Ovis aries: one gene and its partners. The protein of the gene in region 1 binds, or shares a complex with, the protein of each later gene. Links are inferred from orthologs where the notes say so. Each region holds a gene or a part of one and is shown in the gene's direction. Other genes may lie near its edges.

The links.
Region 2: the proteins of AP1G1 (region 1) and AP1M1 are in contact, whole or in part, in a cryo-EM structure (PDB 7R4H), measured with the Mus musculus proteins. The link is inferred for Ovis aries from reciprocal best matches to the Homo sapiens genes AP1G1 and AP1M1. Residues at the interface, in NP_001288140.1 of Mus musculus: Arg24, Glu25, Gln28, Lys29, Ala32, Arg35, Ser36, Arg39, Glu40, His64, Phe65, Gln67, Leu68, Gln97, Val99; in NP_031482.1 of Mus musculus: Ser289, Asn318, Asp319, Ala320, Asp321, Ser322, Trp334, Pro336, Glu337, Asn338, Ser339, Gly361, Leu362, Pro363, Ser364, Val365, Glu366, Ala367, Glu368.
Region 3: the proteins of AP1G1 (region 1) and AP1S1 are in contact, whole or in part, in a crystal structure (PDB 1W63), measured with the Mus musculus proteins. The link is inferred for Ovis aries from reciprocal best matches to the Homo sapiens genes AP1G1 and AP1S1. Residues at the interface, in NP_001288140.1 of Mus musculus: Leu7, Arg8, Ile11, Arg12, Arg15, Leu54, Tyr55, His57, Met58, Gly60, Tyr61, Lys78, Phe79, Thr80, Arg83, Ile84, Leu87, Met90, Leu91, Asp94, Glu95, Thr115, Phe117, Leu123, Cys124, Gly127, Cys128, Tyr152, Lys155, Lys156; in NP_031483.1 of Mus musculus: Met1, Leu14, Arg15, Leu16, Gln17, Lys18, Trp19, Leu21, Ala22, Thr23, Asp25, Arg28, Lys29, Arg42, Lys45, Met46, Cys47, Ser48, Phe49, Glu51, Lys56, Gln74, Asp75, Asn76, Glu77, Leu78, Ile79, Leu81, Glu82, Leu83.

Annotation. Positions count from the first base shown.
Region 1 is NC_056067.1:38,853,479-38,863,561, forward strand, and holds part of AP1G1 (AP-1 complex subunit gamma-1), read left to right. Parts: intron 1-4,017; coding exon 4,018-4,140; intron 4,141-4,312; coding exon 4,313-4,402; intron 4,403-4,694; coding exon 4,695-4,822; intron 4,823-5,642; coding exon 5,643-5,747; intron 5,748-6,374; coding exon 6,375-6,516; intron 6,517-6,700; coding exon 6,701-6,827; intron 6,828-10,083. UniProt on the Homo sapiens protein: Subunit of clathrin-associated adaptor protein complex 1 that plays a role in protein sorting in the late-Golgi/trans-Golgi network (TGN) and/or endosomes.
Region 2 is NC_056058.1:6,576,918-6,587,000, reverse strand, and holds part of AP1M1 (AP-1 complex subunit mu-1), read left to right. Parts: intron 1-4,372; coding exon 4,373-4,499; intron 4,500-5,445; coding exon 5,446-5,588; intron 5,589-6,031; coding exon 6,032-6,103; intron 6,104-6,698; coding exon 6,699-6,857; intron 6,858-10,083. UniProt on the Homo sapiens protein: Subunit of clathrin-associated adaptor protein complex 1 that plays a role in protein sorting in the trans-Golgi network (TGN) and endosomes.
Region 3 is NC_056077.1:36,003,417-36,014,007, reverse strand, and holds the start of AP1S1 (AP-1 complex subunit sigma-1A), read left to right. Parts: upstream 1-5,129; 5' UTR 5,130-5,165; coding exon 5,166-5,168; intron 5,169-5,297; exon of another isoform or gene 5,298-5,766; intron 5,767-7,242; coding exon 7,243-7,421; intron 7,422-8,248; coding exon 8,249-8,357; intron 8,358-9,593; coding exon 9,594-9,932; 3' UTR 9,933-10,591. UniProt on the Homo sapiens protein: Subunit of clathrin-associated adaptor protein complex 1 that plays a role in protein sorting in the late-Golgi/trans-Golgi network (TGN) and/or endosomes.

The DNA of each region.
Region 1 (10,083 bases):
TGCTTGTCTATAAAGCTTTTGATTTCTCCTTCATATTTGAATGAGATCCTTGCTAGGTACAGTAATCTGGGCTGTAGGTTATTGTCTTTCATCACTTTAAGTATGTCTCGCCAGTCCCTCCTGGCCTGAAGAGTTTCTATTGAAAGATCAGCTGTTATCCTTATGGGAATCCCCTTGTGTGTTATTTGTTGTTTTTCCCTTGCTGCTTTTAATATTTGTTCTTTGTGTTTGATCTTTGTTAATTTGATTAATATGTGTCTTGGAGTGTTTTGCCTTAGGTTTATCCTGTTCGGGACTCCCTGGGTTTTTTGGATTTGGGTGATTATTTCCTTCCCCATTTTAGGGAAGTTTTCAACTGTTATCTCCTCAAGTATTTTCTCATGGTCTTTCTTTTTGTCTTCTTCTCCTGGGACTCCTATGATTCGAATGTTGGGGTGTTTAACATTGTTCTGGAGGTCTCTGAGGTTGTCCTCATTTCTTTTAATTCTTTTTTCTTTTTTCTTCTCTGTTTCATTTATTTCTACATTCTATCTTCTACGTCACTTATCCTATCTTCTGCCTCTGTTATTCTACTGTTGGTTCCCTCCAGAGTGTTTTTGATCTCATTTATTGCATTATTCATTATATATTGACTCTTTTTTATTTCTCCTAGGTTCTTGTTAAACCTTTCTTGCATCTTCTTTATCCTTGTCTCCAGGCTATTTATCTGTAACTCCGATTTGTTTTCAAGGTTTTGGATCATTTTCACTATCATTATTTGGAATTCTTTATCAGGTAGATTCTTCCTCTTTGGTTTGGTTTGGTGGACATTTATCCTGTTCCTTTACCTGCTGGGTATTTCTCTGCCAGTTCATCTTGTTTATATTGCTGTTTTGGGGTGGCCTTTCTGTATTCTGGAAGTTTGTGGTTCCTCTTTATTGTGGAGATTCCTCACTATGGGTGGGGTTGGATGGGTGGCTTGTCAGGTTTCCTGGTTAGGGAAGCTTGTGTCTGTGTTCTGTGGGTGGAGCTGGATTTCTTCTCTCTGCAGTGCAGTGAAGTGTCCAGTAATGAGTTTTGAGATGTCGATGGGTTTGGTGTGACTTTGGGCAGCCTGTATATTGAAGCTCAGGGCTGTGTTCCTGTGTTGCTGGAGAATTTGCATGGTATGTCTTGCTTTGGAACTTGTTGGCCCTTGGGTGGTGCTTGGGTGATGGAGTGTAGGTATGGAGGTGTTTGATGAGCTCCTATCGAGCTCATTGATAGGATGAGCTGGATAGGATCTTCCCTGGATTCAGGAGTTCTCAGGTATTCTCAGGATTTGGACTTAAACCTCCTGCCTCTGGTTTTTAGTCTTATTTTTACAGTAAGCTCAAGACTTCTTCATCTATACAGCACCAATAATAAAACATCTAGTTTAAAGATGAAAAGTTTCTCCACAGTGAGGGATACCCAGAGAGGTACACAGTTACATGGAGAAGAAAAGAGGAAGGAGGGAGCTAGAGGTGACCAGGAGGATAAGAGGGGGAATCAAAAGGGGAGAGAGCCATCTAGCCAGTAATCACTTCCTATGTGGTCTCCACAGTCTGGACCTCTCAGAGATGTTCACAGAGTTACACAGAGAAGAGAAGAGGGAGGAAGGAGACAGAGGTGGCCAGGAGGATAAAGGGGGGAATCAAAAGGAGAGAGACAGATCCAGCCAGTAATCAGTTCCCTAAGTGTTCTTCACAATCCTGAACACACAAAGAGATTCACAGAGTTGGGTAGAGAAGAAAAGGAGGAGGGGGGAGATAGAGGCAACTTGGTGGAGATAAAGGAGAGTCCGAAGGGGAAGAGAGCAGTCAAGCCAGTAATCTCACTCCCAAGTAAAAATGGGTACTGAAGATTGGGTTCTTAAAGGTACAAGGTTGATAACAAATACCAAAAACAAAGATTAAAAATATAGAGTAGAGGTTAGATTCTCAAAAATACAATATTAAGAAAAAAGTCACAAAAATTATATACATACATGAATTTTGCTTTCAAAATAGGGTTTTTTGCAAGGTAATAGTAGGTTATAAAAATGAAAATTAAAGGAGTAATGGGGGACTTAGACATGAAAAAAATTTTTGTTTTAATTTAAAAAATGATAAGAGTAAAAATATATCTAGGACTTTCTCTGGAGCTGTTGCAGACAGGGTGGGGTCAGTTCATTTTCAGATAGTTCCTTGTTCCAGCTTGTACTTCTCAAGGTCTATAGGCCCCTTCCTATGTAGTCGGTGCTAACTACAGGGTTTTAATCTATTGCACCTGTCACTTCCAAAGCGGTTCCCTCTGTTTATTTTAGCTTCTTCTGTTTGCTGGTCTCTTCAGTGTCTAATTTCCACCCCGACACAAGGAGGGCTGTGGTGGTCACTTTTTTTAGTCTCACTTGTTCAGTCGTGTTGTGGGGAGGGAGGAACACTGCAAACAAATATCACTGGCGTGTGCTCACAGTAATTCAGCCACACTGGGTTTGTCCCTGCTCACGGCGTGTTGCTTTCCCAGTCTACCCTGTTCAGGCTCTAAGTTGCTCTGCCGGGAACTGTCTGATGCTGGCCCTGGGTTGTATGCACTCCCCAGGTCTAAGCCACTCAGGTTCAGGTTTTTGGGCACTCCTCAAAGACACCAGACTTGGTTGGGCCTGTGTTTTATGCCCGTCCCAGGTCCAAGCAGCTCAGGTGACCAGGTGCTTGGCGAGCACGTTGCCCCCAGTTGAAGGCTGTGACTTATTGCCTCCCCTGTTCCAGCTGCTTGGTTTTCTGGGTGTACAACGGGTGTGCCTTCTCAGGTGTGCCATGTGTCTCTTCTGGGGAGCTGATCTCTCGCTGTGACCCTCCTGGTGGATGTCGATCATCCAGAATCTCAAGAAGTCTTGGTTAGCAAGGAAGTCTGCTTGCAGTTTGGTATAGGATGCCCCTCTGGGGCCGTGCTTGCTCCCTTCCAGCTCTGGCTTCCCTCGCCTGCCTGTCTCCTGAGGGGGATGGGCCGGTTCTCAGCCTGCTAGCTCTGCTCAGTCCTTTGTTTTGTGAGTGGGCCTGGAGGTGTCTTAGGTTAGGGATTTTCTCGGGATAGCTATCCCACAGTCTGGGTTGCTTTCTCAAGCTAGTTCCCTCAGATTGCCTCAGGGCATTCAGGCCTGGTCCTTACCCTAAGCAATACAGCCTGTTCCTCCCTGCCCCTCCCCCCCCCACCCCCCACCCCCCCACTTGCTAGTGGGGGATGCGAGCATCTGGGCTGCTGCTCTGTTGGGAGTTGCTGTTAGGCACATAATCTGTAGGTTTTAATTATTTATTTATTTTTCCTCCCGGTTATTTTGCCCTCCGAGATTCCAAGGCCCGCCACAGACCTGCCAGAGAGAGTATTTCCCGGTGTTTAGAAACCTGTCTCTTTTTTAAGACTCCCTTCCTGGGATAGATCCCCGTCCCTACCTCTTTTGTCTCTCTTTTTATCTTTTATATTTTGTCCTACTTCCTTTTGAAGACAATGGGCTGCCTTTCTGGGTGCCTGATGTCCTCTGCCAGCATTCAGAAGTTGTTTTGTGGAGTTTGCTTGGTGTTAAAATGTTCTTTCGGTGAATTTGTGGGAGAGAAAGTGGTCTCCCCGTCCTATTCCTCTGCCATCTTAGGACTGCCTCATTTGTACGCTTTTAACACCCGTGTTGAGGAGTTGTGGGGAGGAAGAGGTTGTTGTAATTAAGTTCCCAGTGAATGTATTTCTTACATCTTTGCGTTAGTAAACATTCTGAGTAGAAAGGGCCTTTCTTGAAATTCTGAGCCTTTATATTTTAATTTTACTTTGGACAAAGAGAAGATTTTATCTTTTTATAAAACCTTAGAACTTAGAATATTCATTTAAATAAGACTTTGAAATTTGAGCTGCTTCTGAACATGAGAATTGGAAACAACTTTATCTTGGAGGGTGTTTTGTAGTTGTCTCCTCTGAGCAACAACAGCACTAGCTGACTTTTCTTAACATTACTGTGTGTTTCTTGGGGTAACTGTCTACATTTCCTTTTAGGCAGGAAGCTATGTTCGTGATGATGCAGTTCCCAACTTGATCCAGTTAATAACCAATAGCGTGGAGATGCATGCCTATACTGTCCAGCGCTTGTACAAAGCAATTCTTGGTGATTATTCTCAGGTAAGTACTTTTACTTTAGGGGGGAAATTGCCATTATTTTTCTGATATGTTCTTATTACTGTCACTCTAGAGGTGCCTCAGTTGTGACCTTTATGGTTGGATGACCTATATGATTTGTATTAATCCTTTAAAGGATAAAAATCTTTTTCAAACTGTGACTCTCTTTTGACAGCAACCTTTGGTGCAAGTGGCTGCATGGTGTATAGGTGAATATGGAGATCTTCTTGTATCTGGCCAATGTGAAGAGGAAGAGCCTATTCAGGTACCCTTTGTCACTCTTGGTTAAGAAAAGGGAAGACAGTGTTTTTGTTTTAAGAGTAGTGTTTAATGCTTTGAAGTCGATTCCTTGAAAACCTTTTAAAGACGCAAGGGTGGAATCATAGATTCATTGGAAAGCTTGCTCAGTTTTCAGTTGGAACCTACTGGGCCATTGTGAGATTTGAAACTCACCTTTAGGTCCCTCTCCCCACCCCATCATAGTGACTTACATTGTTTCTCTTACCTTCTGGCTGAGGAGAAGTGAGAGTGTCATGTTTCCATTTTTTTCTCCCCAGGTAACAGAGGATGAAGTGTTGGATATTTTAGAAAGTGTCCTAATATCTAATATGTCCACCTCTGTGACACGAGGTTATGCCCTCACTGCTATTATGAAGCTTTCTACTCGATTCACCTGTACTGTAAAGTGAGTATGGAGAAAAAGGGTGAATGCGATATATTTTTTAAAAACTTTTATTTTGGGAAACTTCAAGCAAAGGCAAAAGTAGAATAGTAAAATCAACTGCCTATACCTCTTACTCCTCAGTAACAGTCATCACTTCATGGTTAATCCTTATTAGATCTATACTTTGCTCCCTGTCATCCCTTCATCCCACCACTGCTTAATTTGAAGGTAAAAACTAATGTTTTTAAAATCAGGTATCTGATGTCTGTTTATTTTTTTAAAGTACTGAAGTTATTTTCCCATGTAAAGGTTCTGGTTTATTATAATTTGAGATATCTGAATTGGAAGAAAATCATTTTGGTGTTTAAATCTTTAAATTTTGCTTTTTTAAAAAAAGCCACTGTTTTGAATAGAACTCAATTCTTGGGTCAGTTTCCCAGTCAAGCATATTTAATATAAACTTAGTTCTCTCAGATGTTTTGCTTTTGTTTTTAATGTAAAGCCTCATGAAGAATGATATTTTTTACTGTTTAAATTGTGAAGTATAAGAATTTGGTATTAGGCAGTGACACTTTGCTTATAAAAGTCTGATGCTATGACCCTTTTGTTGATAAAAGCTTACTACTGTAAAGTTATTAAAGAAGGGAATGAATACTATAAATTTGTTATTTTATAGCAAATTAATAATTGGTACTTTTGTTTATCAAATTTTAGGGTATGAGATATTAAGATGAACATTTCAAAATTTTAACCAGAAACCTCTGTTTTAAACACTGTTCTTTCTGCTTGTTTATGAATTTTCTTTTGGATGTTTGAATTTGTTTGTCGTTTTATCCCAAAGCCGAATTAAGAAAGTGGTTTCCATCTATGGAAGCAGCATTGATGTGGAACTCCAGCAGAGGGCAGTAGAATATAATGCACTTTTTAAGAAATACGACCATATGAGGTAAGTGAAAGAAACCGAACAATGCATGTGCCTCTTAGCATCCCAAACACTTTCTCATGATAACCCGTAAAGGAGTTTCACCCCTCATGCTTTATTGGTGGGACATCACAACCCCGTTCAGTTCTTGCGGCTTGGCTACTTGTGTTTTGTTCGTCTTCTGTTCTGCCTAGCCTCTAAAGAAATAAGTGAACCGTGTTCTTTTAGTCCCCTTTTCCCCTTTCTCTTGGTAAGGAAAGTTTTCTTCATTTCCATTTTATTTGGTGAAGAAGTGAGAGTTGTTTCATCTCAGGAGAATCTCATTGAGATATCATTACTATTACCATTGTGAACTGCTAATATGTACTTGTTTATCTTTCTTTCATTCCAATTTCTCTGTCACTTATAATTCTCAGGCTCTTGGGATTTAGATGGACAGTTTGTCCATTCAAGGTTTCCTGCCTGCCCTTAATCCAGTCAGGAATGTAGGTCACGTATTCTTGTAATCCAGCTTCTATTTTAGTATATGTGTTGGGATGTGGGGAGGGGAGAGGTCTCTCCACATTTGGCTGGAGTACAGTTAACAGTGATTGTTTTGGGTAGGGAATCTAGGTTAACTGCCTAGAATTTAACCACTTCAGATTCTTCCAGGTCTGCCCTTCTTGAGAGAATGCCTGTCATGGAGAAAGTGACCACAAATGGCCCTACTGAGATTGTACAGACAAACGGAGAGACAGACCCAACTCCTCTAGAGACAAAGCCACCGCCCTCGGGGCCACAGCCCACCAGCCAGGTAGCTTTTCCCTTGCTTATCCTCATGATCTTCTGGTTCCTTAGACCCTATTTCTTAGGTGATTCCCTTCAGTGTTCCTGGGTTGATTGATAATTCTGTTCCCTGTTTTTAAGTATTGAAGGGGCTTTGTGTTAGATAACAGATTAGACAGTGACAATGAATAAGATATTATTTTCTTGTTTAGGCCAATGATTTATTGGATTTGTTGGGAGGAAATGACATAACACCTGTTATTCCAACTGCACCTACAAGCAAACCAGCTTCTGCTGGTGGAGAGCTTCTTGATTTGCTGGGAGACATCAACCTTACAGGTGAGGCCAGACTAGAGTTAATTTCATGCTTGGCCAGGGATAAGGGCCTTAGGGAAAAACTACACTGAATGTAGACTTTCTGTCTAGCACATGAGACAGTTGAAGAATGGAGAGGGTAAGTGACAAAAAACAAGAATCTTCACAACTTCTGGCCTATGTTGCCATACTAATACTCTAGAGGTAATTCATAGAGATTCCTCAAAGTCTAATTTTTAATTTTTGGAGAGTAAATTACTCAGTGTTTTAAGACAGAACAGTCTCAGGCTAGAAAAGAAGCACATCCCAAGAAATACATGACTTTTTCTAGGTTTCTTTCTACTCATGGTTAGTTTCCAAGAGCTGTGGCCTTCTGTGGAGAGTGGAAAGATGTTAACCTGTTTTCCTCTTTCCTTCTCGCCCTTTCTTTCTCCTTCGTGTTAAAGCAATGGAAGGATAAAATTATCCAGGGTTATAATATTCAAACATAACTTTTCATTTGGGGATATCTTATTTTTATTGACATGTAGTAGAAATTTATAATTAGTGTGTCTGCAGATACTGTAAACACAAGAGGTCAAGAGAATATCACTGTAGCATATAATTTCTATCTTAAGTGACTTCTCTAAAAGTAAAATGGAGAGTTACAGCATACATGACCTTGAGTGGAAAACGGCCATAGGTTAAGGATGTTGGATGCTAATCTAGACAGGCTATCACAGACTTAAAGGTTTTTTCCTAACATAACTGCCTCCCAGAACTTATGGTTTATATTTATGTCTTAACAAAATTTCAAAATATTGCTTGTCATTGCTTAGGGCCATTCACAGTCAGTTTCAGATCCCGGGATGCCAAAGCTGTCCTGAACATACGGAAAAACAGGAACAACCCCATTTGAAACATAGTGTTTGGGGACCTTCCTGGCAGTCCAGTGGTTAGGACTCTTGTGCTTTCACTGCCATGTGCCCAGGTTCAGTCCCTGGTCAGGGAACTAGGATCTCACTGGCTGTGTGGTGAGGCCAAATGAAAAACCAGAACACAGTGTATAGATGATATGCTTTACTTATTAACATATTAGCATTTCCATGTTAGTGTATAATCTTCACAATTATAATTTTGGATGGTTGTCTACTATTTGCTAAGTTTAACCATTATTTATTCAGTTCCTTACTATTGGGCATTTTGCTTGTTTCCAGATTTTTCTTAACTGATGCCTCAGTAAATATTGTTATTACATAAATTTGCCCAAATTTATTTTGGGTTTACATTCTTAGGCTCAGTTAAGTTAGGCTTACTCTTTCTGAATCTGTTTAAAATAAAAATGATTCTTACACATCATAGGGTATTTGTGAGGAATAGTGACAGTGCATGCATGACACATAGTAGGCACTTGGTAAATGTTACTTACCTTTTCCTCAATGTCTATGAATTTCACTGTTAGTCATAAATAAAAAAGCCCTAACAGTGATTGACCCTCTCGTCTTATTTTTATTTTTTCAGTCTAGGGAATGTTTTATATTTGTCCATATTTGTATTATATGTGAATTTCCATTTTGCACATTCCTTTTGTCTCCTTTAACTCATTTATTCTGGAGCCTTAATGTTTTATTTTTGTTCTTTCTTTTTTTTCTAGTGTTAACAAGAAAAAGCAAAATAATGAAGTCTAGCTTTTTTTCCTTATTCATAATGTATTTTACTTTTTTAATTTATTTTTTAATTAGACGAACATTGCTTTACAGTGTTGTGTTGGTTTCTGCCATGCAACAACATGCATCAGCCATAATTATACATACATCCCCTTCCTCTTGTGCTCCCCTCCCCTCACCCTATCCCACTGCTCTAGGTCATCACAGAGCACAAAGCTGGGCTCCCTGTATTACATAGCAGCTTCCCACCAGCCATGTATTTTACACGTGATAAAGCGCATATGTTGAGGCTACTTTCTTCATCTGTCCCACCCTCTCCTTCCCATACTGTGTGCCCAGGTCCATTCTCTACATCTTCATCTCCATTCCTTCCCCGCAAGTGGGTTCATCAGTACCATTTTTCTAGATTCCATATATATGCGTTAATGTAAGATATTTGTTTTTCTGACTTATTTCACTCTGTATAACATAATGTGTTTTAAATGCAATTCCCCATTTTCTTTACAATTTTAAGTAAAGTTTTGAATTCTAGATTCTTTAAGCCATCATCACAGTCAAATCCTCATGCACCATCATTTAAATGAGTATAAATTAGAAAATAAATTTAGTATGTGCTTTTAGAAAAACTTGAGCTCTGAGTTTCTGTTGTTTTTCAGAACTACCTATTGTACCATTATAGGAGGAAAAAAAGCTACAATTTGAAGGACTAGGGACCCATATGTTGCCTCTGTGTCTTGGGTAGCCTATGATTTTCCATGGAAAGATGTTTCTAAAATTGTTTTGAAAATGGAAATTGTGGGAAAATTACTAGATTAGTTTTATAGAAACTAGGATAGCTATCTGAATATTGTTTATATTCTTCATTGGTAATCTGACTGCACATCCTGTGGTGTCTTCATTTGTTTTAGGTCCTTGTGCTTTGCTTGGTCATATGTATTTCTCCCTTACTTGCTAATTTTTACTATATGATTTTTTTTTCCTAGTGTACTTGGGTATTTTTTTAAAAGCTAATTCAACCTTTATTTTATTTTGTGATTTTTAAAATGGTGTAGTTTCAGCTAATTTCATAAAGTAGTTTGAAACCAACTTAAGCATAAAATGCATTCTGTTTCTTTTGGTGAATTTTCTTATGCTTCTTCTTAGAATCTTGATTTCTGTCAGTTCATGGTCATGTTCTATCATTTGCCCTCCATAACTTGTTCTTATTTGGAAGGATCAAATAAAAATAATAGACTGACGATTTTGTTTCCCCACTTCACACCACCTTTCCCAGGATGTGTGTGTGTGTTAATGTAATACTCTGCAATATTTAATATATGTAAAATTCAATAAATAAGTCTTGTCTTGATCTTCTTAGCTTGGAAAATAAAATGTTGCTAAGATTGTTGACATTCCCTGTGTACTACCTCCTTTTCTCATTCCCTCTTGATCCCAGAGGTAACTACTGTCTATCCTAAAATAGTGTTAGCTTTGGTGTTTACCATTCCTGTGTATTTTTGGAATGTTACAGTGTGTAGTATTATTTTGGCTTTTTAGAACTGGTGTCCAATCGAATGTGTACTTTTATACCTTGCTCTTTTGCTGTACATTGAATTTGTGAATAATCTATGTTAAGTGTATTTCTAATGGATTCA
Region 2 (10,083 bases), on another chromosome or scaffold:
GTCACTCACATCAGTGTTCCCCTGTAGGTAATAATAATGTGCAGTTTTTCTCTCGGTGCTTCTCAGATTTTTCCTTTGTCTTTAGTTTACAGCAGATAGTTTATGATGTGTCTCGGTATGGATAGTTTTGAGTTCCTGCTGTTTGGGTTTTGTTGAGCTCCTTGGATCTGCAGACTTCTGTATTCTACCAAACTTGGGATGTTTTCATTCATCATTTCTTCAAATGTGTTTTTACTATTTCACTCTTGCTTCCTTCTGGACCCCAGTAACATAAATGTTAGACCTTTTATGATTGTCCCCAGGGTCTCTGAGCCTCTATTCATTCTGCTCCATCTTTCTTTCTGTTGCTTAGACTGGATAATTCCTGTTGATCAGCTTTCAGTTCACTGACCCTTTTCCTACTATGTTATCTCCATTCTGCTCTTGAGCCCATCCAGTGAGCTTTTAGTTTGTTACTGTATTTTTCAGATCTAAGATTTCCATTTGATCTTTCTCCTTATAGTCTCATTTCTTTCCTGAGACTTTCCAGTTTGACATTTGTTGTAACAGTATTTGTGATTTTTCCCATAGCGGTTTAAAGTCTTCTTCATAGAATCACAACGTCCATGTCAGTATTGGTGTCTATTGATTGTATTTGCATGTGAGCTGACATTTTCATGGTTCTTTGTATGCTACGTAATTTTAGGTTATATCTTGGGTAGGATTCTAGGTCTTATTTAAATTATACAGAAAATGTTGATTTTTTTGGTTTGTTTTAGCTGACAATTGACCTGGTTAGGTTCAGGCCATAAGTTTCAACCCCGAGTCTATGAGCCATGAGTATCAGTTCAGTTTTCAAAGCCTCTGTGCCCTTTGCTATTTGCATCTGTTCCAAATATGCAGTGCCCAGCATTTCATCGGGCCTGGGAACAGTTTGGTTCTCAAGGCCTTTGGCCGTAGGATCTTGTCTGTGCACACCTGGTTCTAGAGAGGTCTGGAGACATAAACAACTTCCTGAGGTTGCTTTCCTGAACCTTTCACTGTCTGCTGTATACCTGTGCTCTCTGGCTGCCTGGGGCTTCCTTTTTTGGATCTGTAGACAAAAACTTAGGGCTCTAGATCCCCACTCTTGTGCTGGTCTGCACTGGGGCTGGAATCCTAGGTTTACCACCCCCACCCCTGGAAAAGCAGCTCAGTTGCCTGGGCCACAGACAGCCGTGAGAAAACTGAAAAGAGGGAGAAACGGGGGATTTCCGTATTCCTTCCGAGCAGCAGGAGTTCCCCTTCTGGCCCTGAAGTCAGAACTAGAGGCTTCTGCAAGCTCTGGCTACACCCCACTGCTCACTTCCACTTCCAGGCTTCTGCTGCATCTCACACTGTGGCGGGTGGGAGACACTGCTCATTCGGCCAGCTCTTCTGGATCCACCTTTTTGGTCTCCCAGTAGTTGCCCATGCATTCTGCCCGGGTTCTTTGTTGTTGCTGACTTTATTGAATTAATTCACGTGCTGTGTCTTTGTTAGTGCTTGGGCTTTTCTCCAGTTGCAGCGCACAGGCGTCTTGCTGCAGTGGCTTCTCGTCGTGGGGCTCAGGCTCCAGGGTGCGTGGGCTTCAGCAGTCGCGGTCCCAGGCTCCAGAGCACTGGCTCGGCAGTTGTGGCGCATGGGCTTAGTTGCGTGGGATCTTCCTAGATCAAGGGTCCGACCCGCGTCTCCTGCATTGGCAGGTGGCTTCTCTACCACGGAACCATCAGGGAAGCCCCCTGCCCAGATTTTATAGCTGTGGTCAGTGTCAGAGAACAGGCGATGGGAACCAGTTCCATCTCACCTGCAGCCTGCCTGCCTCCACACAGAAGACCTCACTCCCAGTACCTGGGCAGACCAGGGCCAAACCCATCACATACCTGCAGCCTGCCTGCCTCCACACAGAAGACCTCACTCCCAGTACCTGGGCAGACCAGGGCCAAACCCATCACATGGGCTCCTTGGGTTGCCCGTTTTTGGCTGTTCCAGCCAGTGCAGAAACGAGCATGATCGCTCATCCTCCTGGGTGTTGGGGCATCTCCCTTGCCTGGGCAGGATCTCTGTTGGGCTGAGTGCCCAGGCATGGAATTTCTGAATGAGAGCACTTTCTAAAAAATTCTTCCAGTGGACTGAATGTAAATGTATCTGCCATCTTATTTTCTAAGCCATGAGGTGACTGTGGCTCCCTGTGCTCCCCTCCTGTCTGAGGACCTTCATCTGGATTGTTTACTGAGCCCAGACATGTTCTTGGGTGTCCTGAGGTGGAGAGGCAAATCCCAGGAGTAGTTGTAAGCAGCTGCCCAGGAGAGCGCTGGGAGCTCAGGGCTGCCCCGGCCCCTGTGTCCGCACACATGGCGCTGTCCAGGGAGCCCTGTCCTCTCATACAAGAGGCAGCACGAGGCAGTGTGGACGTCCCAGGCAGGATAGAGCACGCCTTCCTGAGTCTGACTGCAGAGCTGGCGGCCTCCAAAATCAACACTGGCCTCCAGATTCTGAAAATCTGGTTCTACGGGTATAATTAGCAGCCGTATTGCTGACACTCATCTCCACGCCTGCCCTGGGACGGCACCGGCTGTGGGCCTCCTCCAGCATTGGCCTTAAAGGCTGCGTGGCTTTTATCTCCACTTCCCAAGCCTCCTTTGCCATTGTTCAGCTCTAGAGGGCTGCCCAGCCCCCCTCCCCCAGGGAAGATAGCCCCCCAGAGGAGGAGAACTAAGGGCACTGAGAACCCGCAGAGTAAGGCAGTGGGCATGCCAGCTGCCCAGAGCTCAGGGGCGAGGGGCCGTGTCTGCATGGACTCACGAGTACGTGCTGCCCCAGGCACCATCCTCATGCTGGACCCCGCAGTGAGCAGCCCGACCCGACCCCTCACCAGAGTGTGGATGGAGGTGGATGGGCAGGCAGATGGGGGTCAGGTCACACGCTGCCTGCTGAATCAAGGTCAGCGAGAGGCCAGCGAGGTCAGAGCATGGTGAGTGACGGGAGGTGGAAGGGCCTTCCGTGCTGTTTTGTGCCTTTTTCTGAGTCACTTCCCTCAGAGGTGAAGGTCTTCCATGCCTGCCCACGGCACTTCCAGATATTTGAGTTAAAGATTGGACAGATTTTCCTGCTTCTCCACAGAAATCAGGAAGTCCGGGCCTCCAAAGAGTGGCCCGTAGGCTCAGGTCTCTGAGTTTGTTTTGCTTGCCGGTGTGGATGGGCATCCTCACAGAATGGCACTGTGGGGTGGTGGGCCAGGCTGCAGCCCCAGAACCTCTGCCAGCTGCTCCGTGCCTCAGTGTCCTCATCTCTAAAATGGGGCCGTGGAGACGTGCTGCAGCAGCCCAGCTCCCTCAAGACAGCCCCCGGGTTTCCCCATCATCCTGCTGTGATTTTTACTTTATTTATTTATAAAAATGCATGTATTTTTAACTGAAGGATAATTGATTTACAATATTGTGATGGTTTCTGCCATACATGTGCATACCTGTGGATCAGCCATAGGAATTCATCTGTCCCCTCCCTCTCGAGCCTCCTTCCCACCGCCCTCCCCATCCCACGCCTCTAGGTTGTCACAGAGCACTGGGCTGTGCTCGCTGCGTCATGCAGCAAATTCCCACCAGCTGTCTGTGTTACATACGGTGGTGTATGTTTCCCTTTTGTGTGCCGTCTTCATTCACCCCACACTTTCTTTCCCCGACTGTGTCCACAAGGCTGTTTCCTATGTGCTGTGATACTCAGTTGCACCCTCAGATGCCTTCCAGTCTGCACAGGAGTTAAAAGTCGCCCAAGTCACAGCCCTGCCCAGTCAAGCAGGAACTGCCCAGGCAGTGTTAGAGCTGGGATTGTATTTGCTTAAGTGTAATTGTTACTTTGCATCAGCCCTCAGAGCAGCCCTGGGAGCAGCACCCAGGCAGCTCCATCTTCAACCAGCCCTAGGCTCACCTAGAGCATAAAGTAGCCTCACCTGGCCTCACATGAAGAAATAGATTTCCGGAAAGTGAGTCCACCCTGCTCCGAGAAAACCTCACAGAGCCCAGTGGATGAGCAGACCCTGATAGAATCCCTGCCCAGGCCAGCCAAGCACACAGCCTCCAGCCACCAGGTCTGCCCTGGGCATTCTAGGGGCACCTCAGAGGGGTCAGCCCTCAGAGGGATTGCAGGCGCCAGCATCAGCTGGCCCATCCAAGTGGGAGGAGCCTGCTGTGGCCTGAGACCCAGAGGGCGGGGCCCGTGGGTATCTGCCTTCGGGGTCTGCCCTGACACTGCCTCCTCAGCTCAGGGCACAGAGAGAAGGGAGAGTGGGAGAGGCCGGGAGGGTCACACAGTGTGGTGGGGGACAGTGGCCGTGGGCGCGGGGCCTCCCCTCACCCCCGGGCCCCCCAACCCCCAGGTCAGTGCCAACGGGAACGTCCTGCGCAGTGAGATCGTAGGCTCCATCAAGATGCGCGTCTTCCTGTCCGGCATGCCCGAGCTGCGCCTGGGCCTCAACGACAAGGTCCTCTTCGACAACACGGGCCGTGAGTACCCTGCCCGGGCCCAGGAGCGTCCACCTGAGTGGTCAACACGTTCACCTTAGGCATATTGCCTTAGAAACATTGTCGCGTTGTTTTCAACGGTGAAAACTAGTCAGCTAACGCCTGGGCCTGGAGGACACGGGGGAGTGAAAATCCTCCAGTCCAGTCCCCGTGTCGGCTCTCAGGCCAGAGGTGCAGATGGGAACCTCGATGGTCACACAGAAGGTCCTCAGCCCCGCCCTCCTTCAGGGACTGCAGGGCCGCTCTCCTCCTGGGCCCAGTTTCTGTCCTCACCCCTGGCATTGGGGCTGAGCTGTGCAGAAACCACACACAGTGGCTCGAGCTCACCCTCCCTGGCCTGGGTTTAACATTTTATGGTGTGGCAGCCGGGGTGGCCTCAGAAGCCCAGGGCTGCTGGTGCTCTGGTGTTCCCAAGCTTGACCTCCAGCCTCCCCTCCCACCCACAGGAAGGTTGTCATAGTGACATCAGCAGTAGTGCTCGTGAGGGCCTCTCAGACATCCACCCAGCAGAACAGCTCCCCTCCCAGGACTGGGCTCGACCCTCAGCCTCTCTGGGCTGAGAAACTGAGATGGGATCCCAGGGACGACAGGCCCAGGGCCCTCAGGGGACCCCGAATCATCCCTGAGCACGTCCAGTGGGGTCTGTTCGTCATTCAGCAAACATGTCCCAGGCAGCACCCCAGGCTGGGGGCTCAGAGTGAACCGGCCCACCAGCTCTGCCCTCAGCCCATTGCTGGGATGTGATGGGGCTTCCTGGGGGTGAAGAAAGGCAGGCCACCCTGGTGTTCGGGGCCCAAGACGCGCTCACAGATTTGGAAGCAGCTCTGGTCTGCAGGGGTGGGCCCCAGACAGCAGGGCACCGTTGCTGAGAGTGGCCTGGGGGACCTGGCGTCTGCCTGTCACGCCCTCGCCTCCCCGCTCCCTGCAGGTGGCAAAAGCAAGTCCGTGGAGCTGGAGGACGTGAAGTTCCACCAGTGCGTGCGGCTCTCGCGCTTTGAGAACGACCGCACCATCTCCTTCATCCCGCCTGACGGCGAGTTCGAGCTCATGTCCTACCGTCTCAACACACACGTGAGTGCGCAGTCGCCAGCGCCTGGGCCCCAGGCTCCCACCCCCGCCTCGCCCCGGCAGCACCCCTTTTCCCTGCTGGGTGGGAGCCGCCTCTTCCATGGGGAGTCTCGGGTCTGTGAAGTGACCTGTGGGATGGGCACAGCGCCCCAGGGGCAGCCCGGGCTCCAAGGAGCCTGCTTGTCAACACGAGCCTCCAAACTTTGGTGGGGCAGACCCTTTGGCACCACGGCCCCCTTTCCCCAGCAGCACCCCAGAGTGTCTTCTGTGATGCTTTCTGCATTCTCTCTTGTTCTGACCCATCCTGGCACCGGCTTGGCTTCTCCTGGGAGCCCCTGGTGCTGGGCTCACACCAGGCGCAGTGGTCACTTGCCCTATTTCCCCTCTGTGAAAGGGAGCTTTGTAAAACGACTAGGCGAGAACGCCGTGTTCCACCTCCCCTACAGGTCAAGCCCTTGATCTGGATCGAGTCCGTGATTGAAAAGCATTCCCACAGCCGCATCGAGTACATGATCAAGGTGCGTGTGTGTCCTGCACGCAGCATCAGCCGGATGTGCAGGGCATAAGAGGGGGACAGGGCCGGCCCCGCCTGGCACGGGCCTTCCGGACTCTCTGGCCTGCCCAGTGCCTTTGACACAGGGTCCTAATGCAGGACTGGGGGCACACTGGGGCTCTTGTGCCCCCTTCCCCGGGGCTGAGCCTGTGGCTGTCATCCATGTTGTTTCCCTGTGAGCTCGCCGAGAGTGGGCCTGGGACACAGGACACACCGCCCAGGCCCTAGGTGCAGCCACTGTGGAAGCGGGCTGTGGCTGAGTGTCCAGGTGGCGCACTTCGGCCACCAGGGACCTCATCCATCCCAGGCCAGTCTGGGTGATGCAGACATTGTCCCCAGAGGCCAGGACCGCAGAGAAGGATGGGAAGCCCCAAAGGCTGAGGAGACAGGCGGGCAGGTGACCTTCCAAAGTTGAGCTTAAAGAAAACCTCAGAGGGCAGGATAGGCTGGGGGAATCCCACAGGCCAGGCTAAGGGGTTTGTGGCCCTTGGGGAGCAGGCTGGGTGGGAGCTGGGCTCACTTTCTCCCTCTGCACCCTTGGGGCACTGCCTCATCTCCAGGCCAAGAGCCAGTTCAAGCGGCGATCAACAGCCAACAATGTAGAAATCCACATCCCTGTGCCCAACGATGCCGACTCACCCAAGTTCAAGACGACAGTGGGGAGCGTCAAGTGGGTGCCCGAGAACAGTGAGATCGTGTGGTCCATCAAGTCCTTCCCGGTGAGCACCCTCTCGGCAGGGCGCCCCCAGACCCCCACCCCCACCCGCCTGCTCCCTGGGTCCCGGGCAGCGTGGCAGCCTGAGCGCTGTGGGCCCCTCAGGCCCGGGGCTGGGATCCCCGCCTGGGGCTGCGGGGAGGCTCAGAAGGGAGGCTGGGTGGAGAACAGGGCCGGGTGGGGTGGGGGTGCTCCAGCTTCCTCCTGTGTGTGCAGAGTCAGCACAGCGCCCCCGCCCCACCCTCCTGCTGCCCTTCTCTCTCTGCCTGCCACTCCTGTTTGGAGCTCAGCTTGCCTCCAGGGGTGCAGACTGCCTGCCTTGGGGCCAGAGCAGCACCGGCTCCAGGAACATAGAGCGCCTGCTGCCCGACCCACAAGCTGGCGTGGGAAAAAGGAGCAGTTGGATTGATCCAGGGTTGAAATTCTTACAAAATCCACGCACCTGGCTGGTGTTCAGGGTTTGGAGCACTGGAGTCTGGGTTTGTGGGCAGAGTGCCCAGGGACTGGAAGGCAGGAACGAGGCTGCACGGACCGCACATTCCTCGTGGGGAAAAGACGCAGCGCCTTTTCGCTTTGTCTCGGGGCCGCTTGTGTTTCTTGCTCTGGAAGCTGTAGTAGCTGTCCTTTTGCTCACTTTTCTGTCAAGTGTGGTCACTCTCTTGCTGGTTTCCAAAAGCTGTTTGCATGTGGGCGAGGGGAGTACTTTTTCTTTGATAGCAGTTGCAAATGGTTTTCCTTAGTTTGGTGTTTGTCTTTCAGCCTCGCCTCTGGAGTATTTTCGCTTTGTAATCTTTTTGATTGTGGTAGTTTTTTTTTCAGTTCTCATGGGTTCTTAGATACTCTTTCATATGTTTGCGGCAGTTGCAGTTACCCTTTTTCCTCTCCTATTCTTGGGCACCTTATGACTCCTGGCATCTCTCTGCTTCTGTTGCTGTCTCCATGCCTGTAAGTGGTGGTGGAGAGCAACCTCCTGGCTTTGCCTCCAGCCGGAACTGCTAGGGTTTCCCTTTTTCAGTGTCTTGCTGCTTTGGGCTGCAATTTATTCCAGTTCTACTTGGCTGTGTTTTTAGCATAAAACAGCAACAAATTTAGCCAAATGCTAAATGTCTGTCAGTTCGGATATCAACACAGGATGGATCTTGAACCATCCTTGCATTCTGGCAGGCTCCAGTTGGTCATGATATGTCTTCTTTGATGAGCCATTAACTCTGTTGGTTAACAGTGTACGTAGTATTTTTACATTGAGATTCATGACTGAGACTGACTTTTTTTTTTGGTACCTCTGTCTCAACAGGTATCAATATTGTACCTGTTTCATAGTTTTTTTTTGTCTCCCTCTTCCACGCTGCAGAACAGCTTTAAAGTGGCCTTGAGATCATCTGGCCTTGAGAGGATTGATAGATTTGGCTGTGTGTGGCCATCTGTATCTCTGTTACTCTTTCTAACTCATCTGTGGAAATTAGGCCATTTCGAGTTTCTATTTCTGTTGGAGTCAGTTTGGGTAAATTTGTATTTTCCTACAAAATTATCCATCCTAACCAGGTTTTCAAATCTGCCTGCACAGAGTTGTAGAAAGGGGGCTCTTTTTCCCCTTCTCTTACGACAGTGACTTCTCCCTTGTTATACCTTGTTTGGCATTTTTGTTACTTCTTTTCCTTGATACGGTTACCTAGCGGTTTGTCTATTTTTTTTCCAGATTCACTTTTTAGTTTGTTTGTCATATTTTCCAGTTTTATAAGTCTTTAATTTCTTCATCCTTTGTCCTGACTTTCAAGTTTTTAAACTTTTATTATTTTCTTTTAAAATTTGTATTGATATAAATATTTAAGCCACAGATGTTCTTCTGAAGCCTGCCTTAGCTATATAACCCATAGAACGGGCACGTAATATTTGATACTATTATCTAGAAATTCTGTAATCAAATGAGTATTTTTTCGTTTTGTTTGTTTTCTGTTTTTCTGGTCTAAGGGCCTTTTCTTTTCCATTTTATCTTCACTTTGAGTTTGGTGCATTGAGGTCAGAGAAGGTTACTTGTGCTATTCTGCTTATAAGCTTTATTGAAGTATTCACTGTTTGTAATGTAAGGTCAAAGTTTGTGAATATCCCATATGTACTTGAGAAGATAAGGCCCCTGTAACTGGGGTAGAGACCTTGGCACGAGCATGCTATGATGCCGTGGCGGCATCAGCCACACAGGGAGCTGGGTCGCTCTGCCTTCTCTGGCTCCTCTGGTTCCTGTTTCATCTCTCGTAGCGCCTGCTTAACAGAAGTTGCTGCCGTGTCACTTGGTGCATAGATGCTCATAACTCTTGTGTCTTCCCTGTGGATTTGTAGGACAGCAGCCTTTCAGGCTGTGAAAATTGTCCTCTGCACCTGGAATTCTTTGCCCTTAATTCTCCCCTGTGGCAGCAGTCCTGCTCTTTTTTTTTTTTTTTTTTTTAAATCTTTTTTTAAAAAATTTTTGGTTGCACTGGGTCTTCATTGCTATGCATGGGCTTTCTCTAATTATGGTGAGCGAAGGCTGCCCTCTAGTTGCCGTGCGTAGGCTTCTCGTTGCAGGGGCTTCTGTCCTGTAAAGCACAGGCTCTCGGGTGCACAGGCCTCCGTAGTTGAGTTGCAGCTCGCGGGCTGTAGAACGTGGGCTCAGTGGTTGTGGCACACGGGCTCAGTTGCCTTGCGGCATGTGAGACCTTCCCCAACAGGGATCAGATCTGTGCCCCCTGCATTGGTCGACAGATTCTTAACCACGGGACCGCAGGGAAGCGCAGCCCTGCTCTGCTTTGTTTGACTTTGGCCGGCATGCCTTCACCCTTTCTCGCTACTGGTTTCATCTTTCTGACTCTGCTTTTACAGTGTAGAGTTGGGTTTTGGTCTGTGAGCCAGTCTCCAAGTCTCATTAATAGAGGAAATTAAACCCATTTACATGGACCTGATTGACACAAGGTAGGCTTGCAGACTTCTGCCACCCACCGGGGAGGGCCTACCTCTACGCATTCTTTTGCTTTCATTTTCCACTTGGTTTTTCTGAAGCTTAGGGTTTTGGTCTGGTTACTGTTTCATGCAAACACTGATGGAGCTGGTTTTCTTCCTTTGCTGCCTGTTTGTCTGTTTTGACTATAATTTTATTAATCTGGGCTGTGCTGGTCTTCACTGCAGCGTGGACTTCTCTCTGGTTTCGGTAAACAGGAGTGGGGCCCACTCTCCAGTTGTGCTCGGTCTCCCCACGCAGC
Region 3 (10,591 bases), on another chromosome or scaffold:
TGCTTCTACAGAGAATAGACACCAAAAAGCTGAAATGTTGTGGGTGTACTGTACGCTCAGTTACTCAGTCGTGTCTGATTCTTAGCAACCCCATGGACTGTAACCCACCAGGCTCCTCTGTCCGTGGAATTTTTCAGGCAAGAATACTGGAGCAAGTTGCCATTTCCTACTCCGGGGGATCTTCCCAATCCAGGGATGGAAGCTGAGTCTCTTGCATCTCCTGCATTGGCAGGCAGCTTCTTTCAACTGTGCCACCTGGGAGGTCACTGCAAAAATGGTTGAAAGGAACACTGTAGAAATAGTCACTGGGGTCTAGACTAGAGCACCGAGGGTCATCAGGACTGGCTGCGGGGTTCAGACTTTATAGGATGAGTAAGAGGGATTTGGGTCTGTTGGGAGGGAATGGCAGGGCATTCCAGAAAACAATGTGAACAAAAATCACAAAGAAAAATAAATAGCAAGGCAGGTTCAAGTCACCTGAGAATGAAGCCTCGAGTCTCAAGTCACCAGGGTGGTTTTCAGACTCCCTCCTCTGATAACCTAGCTAGTAGATTCCCCTTTTCCCATACACATTCTCTTAGTCTAACCAAGCAGTCTGATCTTTGTCCTTTGAACAGCCATGCTTTTTGTTACCCTTCATGTCCAAGGCTTAGAGTCTGCAAACTGAGAAAAAGGTAGCTGGGAAACCAAGAGATGGGATGGTTTCAGGGGAAGGGAGAAGGAAGGTACTCATTCTTGAGATGACAATGGAACTTTCCAGTGGGGGAATCCAGTACGTTTATTCAACCAATGGTGGCACCTGCTGTGTGCCAGGCCCTGTGCTCAGCACAGGAGAAACAGGAAATGAAGCCTGCTGGTCCAGTGGCTAAGACTCCATACTCCTAATGCATGGAGTGGAACCGAGGTTCCGCCTCAGGTTAAGAACTAGATCTCACCTGCCGCAACTAAAAATACTGCCTGCCATAACAAAGACCTGGTGCAGTCAAACTATTTTTACAAGAAAAACACAATGAAGACAGCCTGTCCTCCAGCAGGAATAATAGATAATAGATATTAGATAGGTACTACTATTTAGAAATTAGAATTTAGCATATTTGGGGTGAGAAGTAAGATGTAAATATCTAGGACTTCCCTAGTGGGCTGGTAGCTAAGAGTCCACCAGCTGCCAATGCAGGGGACTCAGGTTAGATCCCTGATCTGGGAAGATCCCATGTGCTTCGAGACAACAGCCTGCGCACCGAAATTACTGAGCACGAGCCCTAGAGTCTCTGAGCCACAACTACGGAAGCCTGAGGGCCGCAACACGAGAAGGCACTGCAATGCGTACCACAACTAGAGAAAGCTCCAGCATAGACAACAATAAATGAATAAATTAAAATAAAAAAAAATCTAGATGAGGAAACCATGCACACCAATCATAACCGAAGTCAATCAACAAGCACTGTGAGAGGTGCTGTAAAGAAGCAAAAGATGAGTAAGACACCATCCCACGAGGCGCTTCCAAACCAGCTGAACAGGTGGGGCCAACTCACATGTGTGGTCACCGGACGGTACAACCTGATTACCAAGTTGACCAATCAAGAGTCCTGAGTTACTGGGGATTGAAACCAACTCTGGCTAAATGAAACACGAAAGGAAACTGGGGAGCTCAAGGAATTGTCAGGAGGGCCAGAGAACCAGCAGAAGGTCTCATGCTAGAGACAGTGGCCCAAATCACAAATCATGGGATGCCTACATGGTACCCCTTGCCGCCATTGGTGCACAGGACGCTGCCATTGGTGCCACTCCACCTGCGCCCTAGGTTTTGACCCTCTGCCAGAATTCAGAGGTATTCAGGACCCTTCAGAATTCAAATTCAATACTTTGAATTCAGAATTCAAAGTATTCAGGACCCTTACCTGTCCTCATTATCCCATCCCCACCTCATTCCCTCCTGGATCAACCTCCAGGTTGGTGGATGGACTGGCCGAGTCCAGCAGACAGGCTCATGCTGTGGGCACAAAAAGCAAATTCAAATGCTACACTGCAAGGTTGTGCTATTTCCCCCGGGCATCATAATGTGAGGATTCCCAAACCCTAGGAAGGGGGTTTAGAGGCAGGGAAGTGAAAAAGAATGGCAAACATCTACCACACAAAGTATTCAGGACTCTTAGGAACAGCATACAATAAGGTCCCAATTGCTTAGTTAAAAAAAGAAGAAGTTAAAAAAAAACCCAGAGATGACTCCAAATGACATCATCAGAGAACAATGACTACTTACAGAACGAGCCAAAAATGGTTGCAGGGCGCATCATCATAAGAGGGAGACAGATCACAGACTCAGAAATGAAAGGCTTCAGGGGCCATCTGGACCCCCCTTCCACCCACTGCAGGAACTACTTCTACAACCAGAGGAGGGAAGGCTCAGGGAGGGGACAGCATGGGCTTTGCCAGATAACAATACAAACACCAATCGTACCTATGAAGGAGAATCTCACCTCTTCTATTTTTCCATTTATACAAAAGGCACCACTCACTAATCCTTCAGACTCATCTTTGATTCTTCTTCCTCTTCTATTTAGATGAGTTCGCAGCTTCAATTGATTGGTGCATTACAGGTATCTCTCAAGTTTGTCCAGCTCCAAGGGCTTCCCTCATTGCTCAGTTGGTAAAGGAGACCCCGGTTCTCAATTCCTGGGTTGGGAAGATCTGCTGGAGAAGGGATAGGCTGCCCACTCCAGTATTCTCGGGCTTCTCTTGAGGCTCAGCTGGTAAAAATCCATCTGCAATGTGGGAGACCTGGGCTCAAACCCTGGGATGGGAAGATCCCCTGGAGAAGGGAAAGTATTCTGGCCTGGAGAATTCCATAGACTGTATAGACCATGGGGTCCCAAAGAGTCAGACATGACTAAGTGACTTTCATTTTCACTTTTCATTTCATCTTTGTGTCTAGATTCCCAAAACTGTCTCCTAGACTGGTGGTCCCCAACCTTTTGGGCACCAGGGGCTGGTTTCATGGAAGATAAATTTTCCATGGATGGCTAGAGGAGGTTTCAGGATGATTCACGCACATTACAATTACTGTGCACTTTATTTCAATTATTATTACATCAGCTCCCCCTTAAGTTATCAGGCATTAGATCCTGGAGGCTGGGCACCCCTGTCCCAGATGATCTTGCAGCCTTCCATTTGTTCTTTCAAATCGTTCCCATATTACTATAAGATTAACCTTCTGAAAATGTTTTCCACCAAGTTATTCACCAGCTTAGACAATCATAATGACTCCCAACTTCCCACTGCATCAAATCCAAACTTACCTGCAGATACAAGTTTATTGGAGCCACTAACTCATAGATTATCTATGTATATCATTCACTAACAATGAAGAAACGTAATCCACCATCTTCTAGCTAGTTTAAACCACTTAGGTCTGTGATTCTACATGAGCAAAACCCATATTTCTAACAATTCTCTCATGAATCTTATCTTCTTTGCAGCTAGGCACAGCATGTTGAGATAAGGAATTCTAGAAAATGCCATCTTTTCAAGGAGTGTAGGAGCTTACATCTCTGGATCTTCCGCACTTTTTTGGGCTGTTGCCTAGATCTCTTCTTTGCCTCACTGCTCATTACTTCTTTATAAACAATCTTCTCCTCTTCCCCACGAGTACATTTTATTATTTTGCCTTCTGTCCTTCTTACACACTCTCATTCCTTCTTTTCACTCTGTAACAGAGTACCCTTTCTAACTCTAACAGCTTACCTTATTGATATTATTTCTGATCTAAAAAAATAACATCAAGATAGTTCAGCCAACATCTATGCCATTGGCAAGCCTATGACATAGGCAGAGAAAAGGACATGAAAAAGAAAGGATGAAGAAAAAGTACTGGAAGAAAGAAGTTGGGAAAAGCAAATAGTAGTAATTACTACTGTTATCAGTAATTACTACTGATATTGCAATATCAACTGTTGACAATGTTTCAGATACTTTCTATCCAGCCTCAAATCAGACCTGCAAGGTTGGTATTACTATCTTCATTTTTTAAATGAGGAAATGGAGGTTTAAAAGACCCACCCGAGACTGCACATCAGGTAAGGGTCAGAGACCAGATTGCATTGCAGGTGAATTAAGCCCACCCTCTTGCAATTAAAGCATATGACCTCCATAAAAGAGTAAGAAGAAAAGAATACAAAGCAGAGACAGGTAAGGCCTTACCAATAATTGCTTCAAGTGCTACTCAAAAATAATAGCATCATTAGTTACCAACAAATGTCTAGAAATATACCATTAAGCTTTTGGCATGACAAAATTTAAGATTTCCTCTCATCCATTTATATGCAAAGTGCTTTGGCATGTGGACACACACACTCACACTTGCAAATCCCTCTCAAAACACATGTATTGCAATTTACCTCCGTCTCATCTTTACATTCGTGTCTGGGTCACACCGTCCCTTTTTAGCTTTGACCCATGCTAACTTTTCAAGATTTTCTTTATTTCTTCCTCTTTCTTTCCCCTTGATCATGTTTGTCCTCTTCCTTACCTCACTTTTCTATCAGCTTCTCCTCTTCCCTTATTTCTTGTCTGCCTCATTACCTACACCCTTCTCTTACTTTGAGTGTTGTTGCGTCCAGCAGGTTCTCAGTAGATATCTGTTTTGAGCTCCATACTTTTCTCATACCTGCCCCACCACCACCCTTTGTCTTTGCCTTCCTCGTCATTCCTCCTCTACAGATGGCTTCCACCCTGCTCCCTCTCAATCGCCCACACCCCTTCCATTAAATTACCCTACTTCCTCACAAACTCCAGGGGTCATCTCATCCACCTCTCACCCCTTTTCCCGCCTTTTTCCCCCTAGGTTCCAAAGCGCGAAGACCTCATTGTCCTCCTCCCCCATCTTCTAACCAGTCCACAAGACAGCCTTGTTACCATGACGACAGGGCTACTCAAAGCTGAAGTCAAAGACCTGGTTGCCATGGCCACCGCTTCTCCGCCTCCGGCCCCGCCCGCGCGCCTCGCAGCGTCGGCGCCTGCGCAGTACGCAGCGTATTGGTTCCCGGCACCCTGGCGGACGGGGCGGGGCTTCAAGCGAGAGGGAGGGAAGGAGGCGAAAGGGTAAGAAAGGGAGTGGAGCTGGCGCCTACGGTGGCCGAAGAGGGACGCGCAGGGCTGGAGGCTGCAGGATGGTAGGCTCTGCGAAGAGGGAGGGGAGGGGGGACCGAGGGGCGTGGGCTGCACCTGCAGGGGTCCTTGGGGGCTGCCCTCTGTGTGAGCCGCTCTTTTCCCTCCTCCAGTTCTCAGAGGCCCTCACTTACCTGGGCGGGTGGGCGAGCCGGCCTCGGAAGGAAGAGCAGCTGGAAATCGCTTTCGGGAGAAGCGGCGGGGAGTGGGCGCATTTGTAGGGCCAGAGGGAGGTGACTAGGGGGCGGCGGGACCGTCCGGAGCCAGGGGGAGCGCACGGGTCGCGATCTCAGGGGTCCGGATCACTGCCGCAGGGAACTCGCGCGAGGAACGGGGTCTGGGGCCTGCTGGCTGACGGAGGCGGCAGGGGTCGCCTGTCTCCGAGACCCTCCGTCCACGTGCAGCCCAGAGTGGAGCGGCGGCAGGCGGGGAGGGCGGTGTGTGGGAGGGGATCGTTCGGGGTGCGAGGAATAGACGTCCTGCCTCGGTTTGTCGTCCTGCCCACCTGGAGGCGGGGATGAGGTGGGGGAAGCCAGGTGGGCTCGAGTTTTGCTCTCTGGGACCCAGGCTTTGGCTTCCCGGCTCCGGGGCTCTTGGCTCTCCGCCCCTCTACCCTATCCTCTTTCCGGAACGCAGGCCTTCCGTCTTCCTGCTCCCTGGCCCACCCTCCCATCCTAGGCTCCCTTGCACCACTCTTTTGCCCTCCGGCCACGCTAGCAGCGCTTCCCTTTCCCCGATAGCAGAAAATACAGTTCTCTTGAATTCCGATCTGTAGCCGTCTAGACTAGTAGTGTTCCACACACCCAGGACTCCAGCCCTGGTGGCATACACGGAGAGACGAGCTACAAGGGGAGGGAGATCACTCCAGGATGTGGCCTGGAGCCCCTACCCCCCTGGAAATGGGAAACTGGGGGTGCACGGGGTAGTGAGAGTGAGAGCTCTGCACGTCTCCCCGCTCCACCTCCTTGTGCTTGTTCCAGGAACATTCACTAGGCGAGCCGCCCAGAATGGCTGGGTCCAAACTGAAGAACTGAAAGGGAAATTGATCACCTGATATCTGGGGAGGTGTGGGCATGCTAGGGAGGCACCCTAAAAGGAAGAAAAAAGGAATACCTCTGGCTATATGCCTGGATGGCTGAGTAGAGTGGAGGGTGGTGGAATCTAGGGGGTCCTGGTGTCATGTTATGGACTTCCCTGGTAACTCAGACGGTAAAGTGTCTGTCTACAATGCAGGAAACCTGGGTTCGATCCCTGGGTCAGGAAGATTCCCTGGAGAAGGAAATGGCAACCCACTCCAGTACTCTTGCCTAGAAAATCCCATGGACGGAGGAGCCTGGTGTCCATAGGGTCGCAAAGAGTCAGACACGACTGAGCGACTTCACTTGGTATCATGTGCTAACATAAAGGATACCGCTGGGCATAGGAATGGAGGGCAGTATGTTGGGGACATTGGCTAGGGTGTATGGCTAGGATGGGGCAGAGGGCTGAAGTAGCTTCTTGGGGAAAGAAAATACCTGATTTTAGGATGGTGGTGGATAGAAAGCGGGAAAGAAAGCAAACTTCTCCTTGCCATCAACTTAGGGGCTGCTCGTCACTGTGCTAGCATTTTACCCACCTTTGGAAACCAGGTTTAGGAAACAGTAAGTCAGGACATAATAATAATGACATCCAAGGTGTTATAGTGCTTACTTCGTGCCAGGCGCGATTTCCTATGTCGGTTCCACCTAACAGCTCTGTAAGGTAGGTACTTTTATTATTTCCACCTGACACACAGGGGAACTGAAGCCCAGAGAAATGAAGTAACGCCCAGGGCAAATTTCTCAACTAGTAGAGCCAGGATTCGAACCCACAGGACAGACTCAGAAGCGCTGACACCCCCTCCAAGGAAGGTGCTTGCTAATGGAAATACCCAGTTGACCAGAAGGGCTGATGTTTTGAAGAAAGTAGGGTCTGTGAGGAGAAAAGAGTTGAATGGGAGGAGTTTGGGACTGTGTGGTTTTGGAGGAAACAAGCTCAGAGAATCAAAGCTCTAAACCTCGGCTCTGACTCCTCCTTCCTCTCCCTACCCCCCACCCCCAGATGCGATTCATGCTGCTGTTCAGCCGGCAGGGGAAGCTGCGGCTGCAAAAATGGTACCTGGCCACCTCAGACAAGGAGCGGAAGAAGATGGTTCGGGAGCTTATGCAGGTGGTTCTGGCTCGCAAGCCCAAGATGTGCAGCTTCCTGGAGTGGAGGGACCTCAAAGTTGTCTACAAGAGGTGACTCCTCACCTACTTTCAGACCTGCCTGGATCCTGCCTGATTGGGGTCTGGAATGGGTTCACCTGGCTGGGAAATAGGCAGTCCCTTAGTCTGGCAGAGGTTTCCTGGTGGCTCAGACGGTAAAGAATCTGCCTGCAATGCAGGAGACCTGGGTTCTATCCCTAGGTTGGGGAGATCCGCGGGAGAAGGGAATACTTATCCGCCCCAGTATTCTTTCCTGGAGAATCCCATGGAAAGAGGAGCCTGGCAAGCTACAGTCCAAAGAGTGGCTAACACTAACTAACTAGGTCTGGGAGAGCTGAGAGCTAAGGACATCTGGAAGGCAGTGATGAACTCCAGCCAGCCTTTACTTTCCAAATTCACCTTGAAGAGAGACTTGTTCCTTCTTGGTTTTGCTCAAGCCTGGTACCTACTTCACGCACCTACCTCTGTCCCAAAGGCCCGATCTTACTGATTGCACACATCCATTGCAGCCTCACTGAACAGTTGTAGACCCTGGGCCACTTTCCCAATACACACACCCCCAGACACACAAACCATTTGTGGTTCCTCCTCTGAGCAGGTGAATTTGTTGGCTCAGGTTTTTGCTGAGTCAAACTGAATGGGTCAGAGGGAAAGAGCTTGTTTCTTTGCCTGTGTTTATGAGAGGCACTAAGAGACACAGTGAGTGACGTTTTCTTACCCTGGAGCCACCCCGCCTGTGTCCAGTAAGGACACAGATCAGGAATGGGGGAAATGGGAGGTTGGGGCACAGAATGCCTGGGTCCCGAAGCAGCCCCGGCAGCACACCCAGCCATCCATCCCTCCGGTGTCCCCGTCCTCAGATACGCCAGCCTCTACTTCTGCTGTGCCATCGAGGGCCAAGACAATGAGCTCATCACGCTGGAGCTGATCCACCGATACGTGGAGCTCCTGGACAAATACTTTGGCAGCGTAAGTCTCTCCACCCACCCCAGTTTCCGCGCTCAGCAATCCTCTTTTTCTACCAGACTCGGACCCTTCCAGTCTCTGTTCTGACTCAGGAAAGGGGAAGTTGGAACAGTGAGAACAGTAATTAATCTCCCTCTTTAAGCCTTAAGCCTATTAGCCATGCGTCTTAATCAGGCCCCCATGGGAGAAGGGTGGGAACCAGAATCTGCCACTTAATCAATCCATCTACAGCTCAGCTCAAACTTCCCACACAAAGACAGAGGTCATGTTCAGATAGTATCAGTGGTTCCTAACCTTGACTTTGCTTTGGAGACTTCTGGATAGTTTTTTTTAAACAATAGCGATGCCTGGGAATCACCCCCAGAGATTCTGAATGAACTGATCTGGGCTACAGCCTGGGCACTGGCAGTGAGCTCATATCTTAGATGGGGAATAGTAATAACCATAACTTGTGTTTCACTTAACAGTTTACAAAGAGCTTTCAGGTTCTCCTGTTTGCTTCTCATTCCATGAGTAGGTGTTGGTGTCTCCATTTTTGGAAGAGAAAACGGACTCAAGAGAAGTTAAATGGCATGTCGAGTTAGCTGGTTTCCTTCCAGGCTTTCCTGGCTTGGTGATAAAGAATCCGCCTGCCAGTGCAATAGACGTGGGTTCGTTCTCTGGGTTGGAAAGATCCCCTGGAGAAAGAAATGGCAACCCACTCCAGTATTCTTGCCTGGGAAGTTGCATGGACAGAGGAGCCTGGCAGGCTGCAGTATATGAGGTCACAAAAGAGTCGGACACGACTTAGCGACTAAAACAAGAGTTAGCTGGTTAGTGTCAGAGTGTGGCCTAGAATTGAAGCCGTTTACTCTGTGACCCAGAGTCTCCTTCCCTGCCCTGTCACAGCACCTTGGGGTGCAGGGAGTGGGGTGGGGATGGGTGGGGAGGCCGACCCAACCTCTGGTAGGATTTGTGTCATAGATTTAGGGGAGAAGGCAACAAGAGTCAGGGTCAAGGGTAGACTTGAGCAACTAATATCTCATGATCACAGAGGAAGAGAAAAGGAGAAGGAAAAGCTGAACCCAGGATGAAAGCCTAGGGGTCAGGAGGACATAGACCTGGGGCAAGAACCCAAGGTGGAGAGTGGTCATGAAGGCCACGGAGCCAAGGTGGGGAAAGAGCTGGGGAGGCTGGGGCGCAGGCGAGGGGGGAGAACGCACCTTGACCCTCACCTCTGCCTCCTCCCCCGCCCCCCAGGTTTGCGAGCTGGACATCATCTTCAACTTTGAGAAGGCCTACTTCATCTTGGATGAGTTTCTGATGGGGGGAGACGTCCAGGACACTTCCAAGAAGAGTGTGCTGAAGGCCATCGAGCAGGCGGACCTACTGCAGGAGGTACGGGTCCGGGACAGTGAGGAGGAGGAAGAGGACCGTGGCCGAGGGCACCCTCCCTACCCTGGACCCTTCACCTGTGGACCCCAGCTGCCCTCTTCCCGCCGCTACCGAAACGGCCCCCCTTCCCTGTGGCGTTTGGCCCCCACGCTGCCAGGTTGGCCAGCTGGGCCTCAAGCCCTGACTGCTCAGGGTAGGAGGTAGTTGGGGGCCAGACAGCCCGCTTTTGTCCCATGCTTCTCTTGGTGTTTAGGGTTGCCCGGAGAATTGGAGAAGGGGCACACAATAGGTCATTCTTTTTCTTCCCTGGTGTCTTCCCTTTTTTAAAAACACACACACATACCCAAAGCCTCTGCTGCTGAGAAGCAGAGTTTTGCCCTGGGGATTTCAGGGTTTGGGTGGAGGGCACCTGGTCGTTGGTCCTCCCTTCTGTCCGACACCCCCGCCCTCACCCCGTTGCTGCCTGCCCCCTCTCTGCTGTGCCGCTGCTGAGCCTTGGTGCAAGGAGATGAGTCACCGGAACCTGCAGTGATGAGCAAGCCGGCCTGAGCCGGCTCTGAGGAGGGGGAGAGGGGGTGCTCATCCGTGCAGCCGGAGAGAGGGTAGAATCTGACTTGCTACCTCACTGGTCTAGTCCCCCATCTCACACAGACACACACAGACACACACACACACACACACACACACACACACACACACACATGTGCCCTGGCACTCGCACACCCACCCTGTTACTAGTGCTCTGCTCAGACCCTTATGACTCATCTCTCTGCAGTCTGGTCCACTTTCCTCGGGGACCTGACGCCAACTTCTTACTGCCTCCCTCGACTCTGGAGGGAAAAAACAAAAAGGTCCCACCCAAC